Canis lupus familiaris: one gene and its partners. The protein of the gene in region 3 interacts with the protein of the main gene of each other region in a biochemical or structural test. Links are inferred from orthologs where the notes say so. Each region holds a gene or a part of one and is shown on either strand. Other genes may lie near its edges.

Region 1 (3,645 bases), on a different chromosome or scaffold from region 3:
CAGCCTCCATCGTTTACAGCCCGGGATTTGTTTTTTCCACAGACTGTAAGTACCCTTGTTATCCAAGCAGCCAATGTGTCAGCTTTGTACAAATGCGAAGCCGTCAATAAAGTTGGGAGAGGAGAGAGGGTCATCTCCTTCCACGTGATCAGTGAGTATTGCTCTCCCTTTGGGGGGGGGGGGGTTAGATCTCTTGCCAAGGGGGCACTAGGCTGTCTGATGCTCTGTGGCCCTTGCCATTCCGGAGTGGCATGGTGTTTCGGAAGAGGACTTGGGCTGATTGGGGATGCTTTGGTTCATAAATGAAGACTCCTCAGCTAGCTGTTGGGTGCGTGGGAAGTCGGTAGAACTGACTCTCCCATTCCCTCAGGGGAGAGGATGGTTTTGCATATTTTTTTAGCCACAAATCCTGCATCACGGTTATGGCTCCACCATCCTAGTCTAGCACAGCGCTTGGCTTCTTGGGGTTCCATCAGTATTGGTGGGCTTGCTGCTGAGCTGTTGACAGTGTTGGGTTTTCCGGAGGCAATTGCAATGACACAGAGGCAGTTTCTGCCCAGTGCTGCTGATTCTGATTGTGCATCTTAATTTTATGGTTAAGCTTTAGCTGACCGGACTAGGTGGTCAAGAGTTCAGTGCGGGCTAATTTGTTGTCATAAATATAGCTTCAGTGTCATTGAGTGTGATGTGTCAATGAGGAACTAATTTTTAAAGTTCCTTGGTATAATTATCTGCTTTCAATATGTTTTGGATTTTTTTTAATCTCTAAAGCTGTGTTTTGAGCCCAAAGTAGAGACTTGATACGTATCTGAGGAATGCATCTTGGTAAAATAATACATTTTGGAGCCCGAACTGTCTAGTTTGGTAGTCTCCTTGTATTCCTTTGCTGGGATTGCTAGGGCTTCACTTCTCTTGGTGCTTTACAGCAGTCTGAAGGCAACAGGAAGACAATAGTGTGCTGCCCAAATTAAATCACCATTTTCTAACCGTAGGTTTTATATTTCAGGGGGCCCTGAAATCACTTTGCAACCGGACACCCAGCCAACCGAGCAGGAGAGCGTGTCTTTGTGGTGCACTGCAGACAGAACTACGTTTGAGAACCTCACGTGGTACAAGTCTGGCCCACAGGCTCTGGCAGTCCATGCGGGAGAGGTGCCCACACCTGTTTGCAAGAACTTGGATGCTCTTTGGAGAATGAATGCCACCACGTTCTCTAATGGCACAAGTGACATTTTGATCCTGGAGCTCCAGAATGTGTCCTTGCAGGACCAAGGAGACTATGTGTGCTTCGCTCAGGACAGGAAGACCAAGAAAAGACATTGTGTGGTCAGACAGCTCACAGTTTTAGGTAAGGAGGCAATTTTGGTCATCAAAGACAGTTGGAAAGCCTTCAATGTGGTACTTTTAGGGACTGTAAGATCACTGTCCTATAGGAGCATAGGAAGTAGACTGGTGCACACTTGCCTTATTCACCGAATGTTCTGGAGGCAGAAAGAGGCCAATAGTGGTGAAGTGATGTATTAAAAAGAGAAAATAACATGTTCCTTTCTAGCTCTAATGATAGGACTTCACTATTATCTACAAGAGATTAGCTTAAACTGGGGAAATTCCTGCTTTATCCTTGGCATTTGTTTATTTTAGTAGACACGTATTCATGGAATGCCTACTATGAGCTAAGAAGGTTCCAGAAGTTCACAATGGTAAGTAGGTAGACAAGATGAAAACACAGGCAACCACGGGGCAGCCATGGCACATTGTGGTCTTTGTGTCCATGAGGATGGGATTTGTTTTCTCTTCCTCCTTGCTGTAGCTCGCATCACAGAACATAGTGGCACATAGTAGGTGCTCAGGAAGGCATCTGCTGCATGAAGAGTTATTTAGGACCTGGGAGAGCCCGTGGGAGGGGTGCTGCACTCACAGCTTGCACCTCTGGGTCATCCCATGTAGTCCAACGTAGGGATCAATGGGATGATCATTTTAATGAGCTGATAGCTTTGTAAAATGCCCCAGGGAGCCACTCTCCACACCTCATCTAAACCCGTGTCCTGCACAGGAGCTGTGCAGCCATGCCTCTGTCTCTGGGGAAATGAGACAGATCTGGAAAGTTCTCTTTGTGTCCACTCTCTCCATTTTCTCCCCTCATGAGTGTCCCTTCCCAGTTTCTGGGATGCATGTGTTCTCTGATTTTACTCTTAAGAAGGGCAACAAACTGCCCAGGTGAATGAATCTATACCAAAGTTTTAGAGGAATAATATCTTCTTCAGAGGCCTTGGCAAGTTTAAGAGGTATCTTCAGACAGACCCTAGGATAGTATTTGCTGGTGTTAAGACTTAGGTGTCAAAAGAAGGAATATTTTAGGGTGAAGTCATTGCCAGGGCCCTTCATATCATATCACATACATGGCCATGTGTTTTCTGTTCACCTTGGTGACTGTCTGGTTTCAAATTAGTGGAAGAATTCAGAGAGAGATGTGAAGGGGCCATGCCCAGGAAATTTGTGCTCACAATGAGCTGCTTTGCTTTTCTAAGAGCTCCTAAGTTGTTTTCCTAAAATTATTCTTAGAAACAGACCAGAGCCCAGGATATTTGTTAAGCCCTAATGTAGTTCACCAATGAGGTAATCTCGTTTTGCTAAATATTGAAGTGGATTCTTTCAGCAAGATTCCATTTGATTGCTGTGGACAAAATATTTCTATATTTTGAAAGTTTTGCTATACATTGAAAGAAATACTCGTGGGCTTAATTTTCTTGAGATCTTTGACTTTCTTTAGGGATTTCTGTGTTGCTCTTTTGTGTTTTAGTGGGAATGGCACTGGACTAGGCTTTCAGTCTCACCAGTTTCTATTATTAGGTCAAATGCTTACTTAGTTATAAGGACTTGGATGAATCATTTACCCACCCCCCCTGCCCCATGAACTGCAGTTCTTTCCTCTGTGAAATAAGGTTAATATTCTTGTCCATTCCAGGGTTGAAAGTGAGCAACAGAGATAGTATAACTGAGTTTTGTAAAAAAAAAAAAAAAAAAAAAAAAAAAGCCAAATAAATATAAGGTATTCTTTGTTGAATTACATTGAAGTTTCGCACTTTCCAAGAGAAACATGGCAAACTTCAAGGGTGTCACTAGCTGGAACTTTCGTGGGAGGGAAAGTTTCCCCTTGGGGGAAGCCGTGTCTAATTAGGAAAAACCCATAAAGGTGACAACCTTCATTTTGTGATGTGACAATCAACTAGAGTCACTAATAGGAATGTTCATAGAGGAGCAGTGACTTATCTCAACTGTCCTGACCTGTTTCATTTGACTTTACCTGGTGACCAATGGTATTGTCATCAACCTCTGTGTATTTGCAGCTTAGGAAATCAGTGGCTTACTGTTTACTAAGTTTAAACTATTTATCAGTTAACTGATGCTAAAACCATTTCAAAAGTTATAACTGAATGTTGTGTGATTTTTGTGTGTGTGTGTGTCTGCATAGAGCGCGTGGCGCCCATGATCACCGGAAACCTGGAGAATCAGACTACAAGTATTGGTGAAACCATTGAAGTTTCATGCACCACATCTGGGAATCCCCCTCCACAGATTACCTGGTTTAAAGATAACGAGACACTTGTGGAAGACTCAGGTGAATAGAATATGTCTATCTCTCAT
Region 2 (4,098 bases), on a different chromosome or scaffold from region 3:
TATGGGATAGGAGGGCAGGCAACTTTAGGTGTTGACATAAAAGTCTCCAGCACACCAAGAGATGACTCCCTTCTTCCCTTCCAGGTGTGCCCTCTGGAGCTCCAGACTTGTCTGCTTTTCCTCAGTCAGAGCCCCCCCAAGGCTGCTACTCTCCATGCTGAGCTGCCCCAGCTCCTCTGCTATACTGTGGCCAACTCAGCCTGTCCCCCTCTCCTAGAGCTGGGCCAGCAGCTGAGCACAGGACCTGGGGGTGGTCTGCACAGCTCAGAGAGATGGTTCACCTTCCACGTTCCAACATTTAGACTTGACCCAAGGTAGGGGTGACTTATTAAAGTGGCAACATGCACTGACTCCAGGGTCTGTCCACTTCCCAGCTGAACATGCAGAGCTCCTGGCCTTCGTGCTAACCCCACTGGGCTCAGGAACCTGTGAGGAGGCCAGCCCATCTGTCCTGAGGATCTACACTGAGCCACCCTCTTGTCTCTTTTCCAGCCTATGCAGTTCTCTCTGGAACCCACCAGGCCTCTTCTTCCTTCCATCCTCCTTACTGAGGCCCAGATAAGGCAGCTGGCAGGGGACTCACACTCCGCAGCACACCAGCCAGCTGGCTCCAACCCCAGGAAGCAGAGAAGGTCCCCGGTGAGGTGTGTCTTAATCCTGCATCTCCATCTGTCCAGGCCTGGCCTCCTGTGACACTTGGGGTATGAGCCCAGTCTTGGCTCTAAGTCCTTGATCTCTGCTCAGCCTGACCCCCACTCCCGCCCATCAGGCTCTGTCCTCTGTCTACCCTTTGACCCCCTATCCCCACCCCATGCAGGGATAGTGTGGTTACAAGTACATATTCTGGGGCCATGATCCCTGGGTTTGAATCCCAGTTCCGTCACTTACTAGCTGTGGGATCTGGGAACCTTCCCTCCCTGTCTCGGTGTTCCCAGCTATAAAATAACCTCCAACCACCGCGAGCTATCGAGCTATCGTGGGGACTAAGTCCGCTAATATATGGAAAGTGCTTCAGAAGTGGCTTACACGTGGTGAGTGCTCAGTGAGCACGGGCTAATATTATTATTCAGTCAGCAAATCTTCCCTGCACACCCACTTGGTGCCAGGCATGGGGGTCCAGCTGGAGGGCAGATAGCCCCTTGCCCTCAAGGAGTGGCACTCTTGCAGGAGACAGGAGTTCAACGTCCTCACCAACAAACAGCAAGAAGCACCCTGAGGAGGCCGTGCAGGGCAGGGTGTGTGGGGTGGTGGTCAGTTCACAGAACCTGGCCCCCAAGGGCTGGCTCCTAGTTGCACGATGCCTGGGGGAGGCTCCAGCCTCTCTCAGCCTCGTTTCCTTCTCTACAAATGGGGATATGGTGCCTAACTCATCAGGTTCCACGAGGGGTCCCGTGAGTTCAGAGGTAGGTGGGCAGGACTTCTGCAGGGCCAGGCACACAGTAAGTGCTCGAGGACCACGCTCCTGGGCGGGGAGTGGAAGCTGAGGAGCCCTCCGAAAGAAGGGCTGTGGGGCAGGATGTGGCAGGCCGTGGGCTGCAGGGATGAGTTTGGTGTGTATTCTGAGAGCAAGGGGAGCCACTGGAGGGTTGTTTTTCTTTTTAAAATTTTATTTATTCATGACAGACACAGAGAGAGGCAGAGACATAGGCAGAGGGAGAAGCAGGCTGCCTGCAGGGAGCCCAATGCAGGACTCGATCCCAGGACCAGGGATCACACCCTGAGCCAAAGGCAGATGCTCAACCACTGAGCCACCCAGGCTGCCCCCACTGGAGGGTTTTAAGGGAGCCCCCCACCCGGAGGACACGGGTGGTAGAACCTGGGTTGGAGATGATGGGGTTCAGATGGGTGTGGAGGCACAGGGAAGCAGTAGGATTGGAGAGATACCAAGGGGAGAGACTGTGTGCTCCCACGGGTGTCTCCCCAATGCCAAAAGGAGCATTTACAGTATGTTTGTTTGCACCGGGTTCAAAAACAGCCCGGACCAAATAACAATCTGAGGTTTATAATCTTGACAAGGCCTTGCAACTGGGGAGGGCCTGAAAAGGACGTGGCGTTGGGGGCCAGGACAGGGAGGGGCAGGGATGACCTCCCACCACAAGCTACTGGCTCAGGAGGTGCCACTGATTAGCTGGAGGAGGATGCTGGTCTGGACTCTATGCTGCAAGTCACAGTACCCTTGACTCAAACAGACTAAAGCCCAAAAACAGAGATACTGAATTCCATAAAAGAGTAGAGGGATGGACTTCAGGCATAGCTGGATCCAGGTGCTCAAATGTCTCCAGGTTTCTTTCCCCTTGTCCCTCAGATCTCCCTACGAGAGGTAGGGACTCTACCTCTCCCTCCATTTTCTGCCAAAAACTCTCTTCTAGTGAGCCAACCTCCCAGGAGCTCCAGCCTACAACTCTTTTTTCTTTTTTAAGATTTTGTTTATTTATTCATGAGACACACACACAGAGAGGCAGAGACACAGACAGAGGAAAGGCAGACTCCCTACAGGGAGCCCAATGCAAAACTCGATCCCAGGACCCCAGGATCACGACCTGAGCTGAAGCCAGACGTTCAACCACTGAGCCACCCGGCTGCCCCCAGCGTACAATTCTTTAAGTCCAGACAAAATGAAGCGCTAGTCCACTCACCTTAAAGTTCTCTCAGATTGGAGGAGCTTAAGTCAGGTGCCCAGGCCTAAGCCAGTCACTGCAGCTGAGAGGAATGGGCTGTGCCGATTGGGTCAGCCCGCGTTCCCTGCTCTCTCCTAAAAGTCTGAGGGGTAGGATGAACTTCTACATGGAAACCCGGGGCTGCTGCCAGAAGCTGGAGAGGAATCTGTGAATGGCCCCGACAGGGTGGGTGATTTTCCAGCCTTGGACTTAGAGTTGATTTTGTCTGTATTCGATTCAGACACTGTCAGATAATAGCACATATTTTAGAAACATGTTCCCTGTAAAATCCCCAACAGTCACGAGGGGACTTGGTCAAGCTCATCAGTGTTTGGCTCTCAGCCAAGGGAGACCCCGGCCATCCAGCCAATGAAAACCCAGAGATTCCTGAATCACACACGTCATGGGCTCACACCTGGCTGGGTCCCCAAGGCCAGGGACTGCGCCACCGTGGAAGCAACGTGGGTCCGATAGGAAAGTCGTCGCCTGCGGTTGGTGACTAATAATCAAACAAGCAGGTTACGCCCATTGCAAAAATGCTAACCAGCCTGAGAGAATGCGATACGAGCCCAGAGTCTGACTCTGCTTCATGTGAAAACCCCGGAACCGGGGACTCTGAAAGACAGACTACCAGACCTAGACATGCTCTCCTGCGCCCCTCCCCAGCTGCAAGGCCTCCCCGGTTGACGCATCCCCAATCGTTACTGAGTTCGGGCTGTTTTTGAACCTGTCGTAGGCAGACGCGCTGCAACACCCTGTCTGCGGGGGGAGCCTGCCGCCGCCTCCACCTCTGGGCAGGGCCGCGTGGTACTCCGTCGGCGTCGGCGAGCGCGTGCTGACCGGCTGGTCTCGGGCCCTTTTGGCTGCTTCCTGGGTTTTCTTTCCTGTTACAAAGGGTGTCGCTGTACGTCTCTGTCTCTCCGTACCCGGCTTCCCGTGACATTTGTTTTCGTCTAGGAGGGGGAGTGCTGAGTCACTGGGTGTGCACGCGTTCAAGCTCCCCAGCTCAGGCCAGGCTGTGGCTGCGAGGCTTGTACCAAGGCTGCCAGCGGCTGCTGAGGGCTGCACCTCCTCGAGAGCATTTGTTAACGTCTGCCGGGGCAGTGGGTGTGAAATGGCATCTCGGGGAGGGTTGAATGCACAGGCCCCTTGCCGCTAACAGGGATGAGCATCTTGACGTCTGCCTGTCAGCCACCCGCCTCTCCCGTTTTACGAAATCTCTGCATCTTCCTTTTGTCCCGAAAACACTGTTTTCTTCTTGGAAATACTGATTTCTAAAGCACGGTCCGGCCATGTGACTCCCCGCCTTTAAGCCCTCCTGTGACTCCCGGGGGCCTCAGAGTAAAGCTCACGCCCAGCAGCCTGGCCAGCGAGGCCCTACAGTGGTTTGGCTCCCATCTGCGTCTCCATTCTTGATAGGAGCTGTTTCCTGACACTCTCT
Region 3 (3,645 bases):
CTTCCAGGCCGCCCTCTGCCCACCCAGGGTGGGAGGGAGGACTTCACTTCCCGTTCTCTGCCCATGGAGGCTGTCCCTGCAGTGCCCGCCCCGGGGGCAGGGGCTCTGCCCTCACGGCCACGGCTCCAGTCTGTACCTGGTGTTGGGTGGGAAGGCTGCCGCCACGCTTGTACCACGTGATGGTGGCCTGGGGCTGCCCAGCCACCACACAGTTCAGATCCAGGGTCTGCCCTTCGACCACCGTGGGGGACGAGGACTCGATCCGGATGGGGGGGGAGACGCTGGGCACTGGAGACAGAGAAGGACGGGCCCCACAGCCGGAGTCAGGCAGCAGTGATGGCACCAGGGCCCTGTCCGCCTCCCCCTGCATCACCTGCCTGGACCCCCTGCCCTGTGCCCTCTCACCGTGGGAGGGGCCACTGCCCTCGATGGTAACAATGAGTGAGGTCTCCTGGGAGCCGCCACCGTTACTGACGTGACACACATATTCACCCGAGTCGGCCGGCGTCACCTGGGGGATCCGGAGTCGGGAGCCCACGATCTGAGGGAGAGCAAGTGTCGGTGGGTGGGGGCAGCACCTCCACATCTCAGGTGCCGCCGCCCTGGCCTCCAGGAGCCTCCCGGAGCCTCCCCTGCCTTGTCGGGGCTGGCCGCCACCAAGACGTCCTTCAGAACCCCTCGGTGGCCTCCCCACGGCCCAGCTGGCACGGACAGGCCTCTGTAGCCTCTGTCCTGTTCTCACCTGTTACCTGGCCCTAGAGCCTGCGGAGGCCATCCCTGGTGACTCGAGTGCCCTGCTCTGACTTCTATTACACTGCTGTCACAGGACATGTCTGCCCCATCCGCTAGCCTGTGAGCTCCCGGAGGGCGGGCACCTGTCTCATTCTACCTGGAATCCTTAGTGCCAGGCACACGCATTCGGCCTGGAGCAGATTCTCAGGGACATTCAGTGAGTGAGTAAATCATAGAATGTTCTGGTAAAATATGGGCTCCACTGAGGTCAGTAGTGCCCATCAAGTAAGAACGCTCAATGTTTGCTGAATGGCTGAATGAGCACAGGGAAGGGGTTGAGAGCCGCTCCTGAATCCCGTTAGAACCCGTGTGCCCAGTTTTTGCACCCACACCCAGTGCCTCCATACCTGGTGCCGGCTGGGAAGGCTGCCTCCACGCTTGTACCAGGTGATGGTGTGCGGGGCTTGGCTGGCCACCAGGCAGTTGAGGTCCAGGACATGTCCATTGGCCAGGGAGGCCGAGGAGGACTCGATGCGGACGGGGTACACCACACCCTGGGCTGGGAGGCCGAGACAGGAGACAGGGTGTGGGAGCTGCTGAGGTTGGAGCCACCCTCGAGGTCCCCCCACTGCTTGTCAGGACCGCCCCCCCAGATACTCACGGTGGGAGGGGCCATGGCGCTGCTGGATGCTGACCAGGACGGAGGCTTCTTGCGTCCCCGAGCTGCTCACCACGCGACACACGTACTCCCCAGAGTCGGAGGGGGTCACCTGGGGCAGGCGCAGCCTGGAGCCGTGCACCTGGGTGGGCAGGAGGGAGCCTGGCTCAGGGTCAGGCACCAGGGCTCCGGGCCAGGCTCCTGCTCCCTCCCCTGGCCCTGCTCCCAGCCCAGTCCAGCCAGCTGGCCTTGCGAGGCGCTCTTGCTGGAAAGACCAGCATTCATGGCCAGTCAATTCCCCTGCTCCAGTGTGGGACTGGGCCCAGTGAAAAGGAGTGGGCGGCCAACAGTTGTTGACGTGCTATGGGGCAGGTGAGGTAGGCAGTGGGAGCCCACTTGACGGAGGAGGGCACTGAGGATCGGGGAAGTCGAGTGACTGGCGTAGAGCCACACAGCAGGCACAGGGCAGAACAGTGTCTGAACTCAGGTACGCCTGAATTCAAAGCCTGGATGCCCTACTCTGTAGTCACGAGGGTCCTTCAGGCTCCCCCCTAGCTCTCTTGCTTCCTACCTGGTGCCGGGCGGGGAGGCTGCCCCCGCGTTTGTGCCACGTGACCTGGGCGTGGGCCTGCCCAGCAACCAGGCAGTTCAGATCCAGAGTCTGCCCTTCCGCCACGTGGGAGGACGATGATTCGATCCGGACAGGGGGGGTGACCCCCAACGCTGGGGACAGAGGGCAGAGGGTGAGTCCCTGGCTAGGAGGGGAGGGTGGGGGGTGGGTGTGTGTGTGAATGTAAGGGCTACTGGTCTCGTGGGGTCCTGCCAGTATCTCCCACGGCTGGGCCCCTAACCCTGCCCTACCCCCAGGACTGCTTACCGGGTACAGAGCCTGCAGGCTCAATGGTCACCAGGACAGAGGCCTCCAGGGGCACCGAGCCACCCACCACGCGGCACACATACTCGCCCGAGTCAACTGGGGACACCTGGTGTAGTCTCAGCAGTGAGCCGTGGGTCTGGCCAGAATGGAGGTGAGCTCAGAGGGGGCCCTCACGAGGCCCCTACACCTGTAACCTACAGCCCTGCCTCACTCTGACCCTTGGGGCCTGGCCATCCACTGTCTTGCTTAGGGAGAGACTTGTCCCAAGAGTAGGAGGTGGCCAGGAGGAGCCATGGAGAACTGGGCAAACATTAATTCCACTTTCTGTTGCTTCTAAGACACTTTTTAATGTCTCTGAAATCAAGATGTGTCTTACGGTGAATAATTTGTCTTATGGGGAATAATTTTACAGTTACAAATGGCAGCTTTTCTTCCTTAGAGGTACAAAGAATAATAGCACACCTTGCAATCGATAGCATCCTCAACTCTTTAAAACACAGTAATATTAATAACAGCTAACAGTACGGTAATAACAGTTGGGCAATTTCTACGTGCCAGAGCTCTGAGCACTTTGCAGGGATGTTAACTCACTTCACCCTTAAAACAATTATATAAGACAGATACCATTTTACAGATGTTGAAGCAATGGCACAGGAAGGCTAAGCAACTCGCTTAAGGTCACAAGCTAGTAAGTGGGGGAAATAGCATTCACACCTAGGTTGGCCAGCCCTAGAGTCTGGGTTCTAACCATGGTGCTAGACACCTGGACACCCTTGGACAATGGGGTCCAAGGCTTCCCTGACTCCGAGGAGCTTCCAGTCCTTCCCATCCTTGACCTCCACCACCCAGGGCCTCCCTCCTGTCTCCTTCTTGGCCTGCCCATCTTCTAGGCCTGTACCTGGTGTCGGGCGGGAAGGCTGCCCCCGCGCTTGTGCCACGTGACCTGGGCGTGGGCCTGGCCGGGCACCACGCAGTTCAGGTCCAGGGTCTGTCCTTCGGCCACGTGGGAGGAGGAGGACTCGATGCGGATGGGCTGGGAGCTACCCGGAGCTGGGGGAAAAGACGGTCACCGGTCACTCCAGTTCTCTACAGCTGTTCCCGCCTGGCCCTGCCTTCCGTCCCAGCCCAACCTGCTGGCCCCACTCACGGTAGGCGAAGTTGGCCCCCTGGGTCCTGGTTACTGTGACTGTGATGGAGCCCTCCATCCCGTTGCTGGCCCGGCAAACATACTCGCCTGCGTCGGCTGGCGAGGCCTGGAAGATGTACAGGCGGGAGCCGCGGACCTGGGCAGACAGGGGCAGGGATGTGAGATGGGGGCTTCCCGTAGCCCAGCAGACGCCCCTCTGCCCTGCTCCTCCGAGCTGGGAACTGCCAGCCG

The links.
Region 1: the proteins of HSPG2 (region 3) and KDR form a complex in vitro, tested with the Homo sapiens proteins (2 studies listed by IntAct). The link is inferred for Canis lupus familiaris from reciprocal best matches to the Homo sapiens genes HSPG2 and KDR.
Region 2: the proteins of HSPG2 (region 3) and FBLN2 form a complex in vitro, tested with the Homo sapiens proteins (2 studies listed by BioGRID). The link is inferred for Canis lupus familiaris from reciprocal best matches to the Homo sapiens genes HSPG2 and FBLN2.

What each region holds. Positions count from the first base shown.
Region 1 is NC_049234.1:48,227,443-48,231,087, reverse strand, and holds part of KDR (vascular endothelial growth factor receptor 2 precursor), read left to right. Parts: intron 1-42; coding exon 43-151; intron 152-1,006; coding exon 1,007-1,348; intron 1,349-3,472; coding exon 3,473-3,619; intron 3,620-3,645. UniProt on the Homo sapiens protein: Tyrosine-protein kinase that acts as a cell-surface receptor for VEGFA, VEGFC and VEGFD. Plays an essential role in the regulation of angiogenesis, vascular development, vascular permeability, and embryonic hematopoiesis.
Region 2 is NC_049241.1:3,866,490-3,870,587, reverse strand, and holds the start of FBLN2 (fibulin-2), read right to left. Parts: upstream 2,881-4,098; 5' UTR 2,637-2,880; intron 1-2,636. UniProt on the Homo sapiens protein: Its binding to fibronectin and some other ligands is calcium dependent. May act as an adapter that mediates the interaction between FBN1 and ELN.
Region 3 is NC_049223.1:76,736,271-76,739,915, reverse strand, and holds part of HSPG2 (basement membrane-specific heparan sulfate proteoglycan core protein), read right to left. Parts: intron 3,551-3,645; coding exon 3,415-3,550; intron 3,318-3,414; coding exon 3,166-3,317; intron 2,404-3,165; coding exon 2,268-2,403; intron 2,114-2,267; coding exon 1,962-2,113; intron 1,533-1,961; coding exon 1,394-1,532; intron 1,292-1,393; coding exon 1,140-1,291; intron 542-1,139; coding exon 406-541; intron 289-405; coding exon 137-288; intron 1-136. UniProt on the Homo sapiens protein: Integral component of basement membranes. Component of the glomerular basement membrane (GBM), responsible for the fixed negative electrostatic membrane charge, and which provides a barrier which is both size- and charge-selective.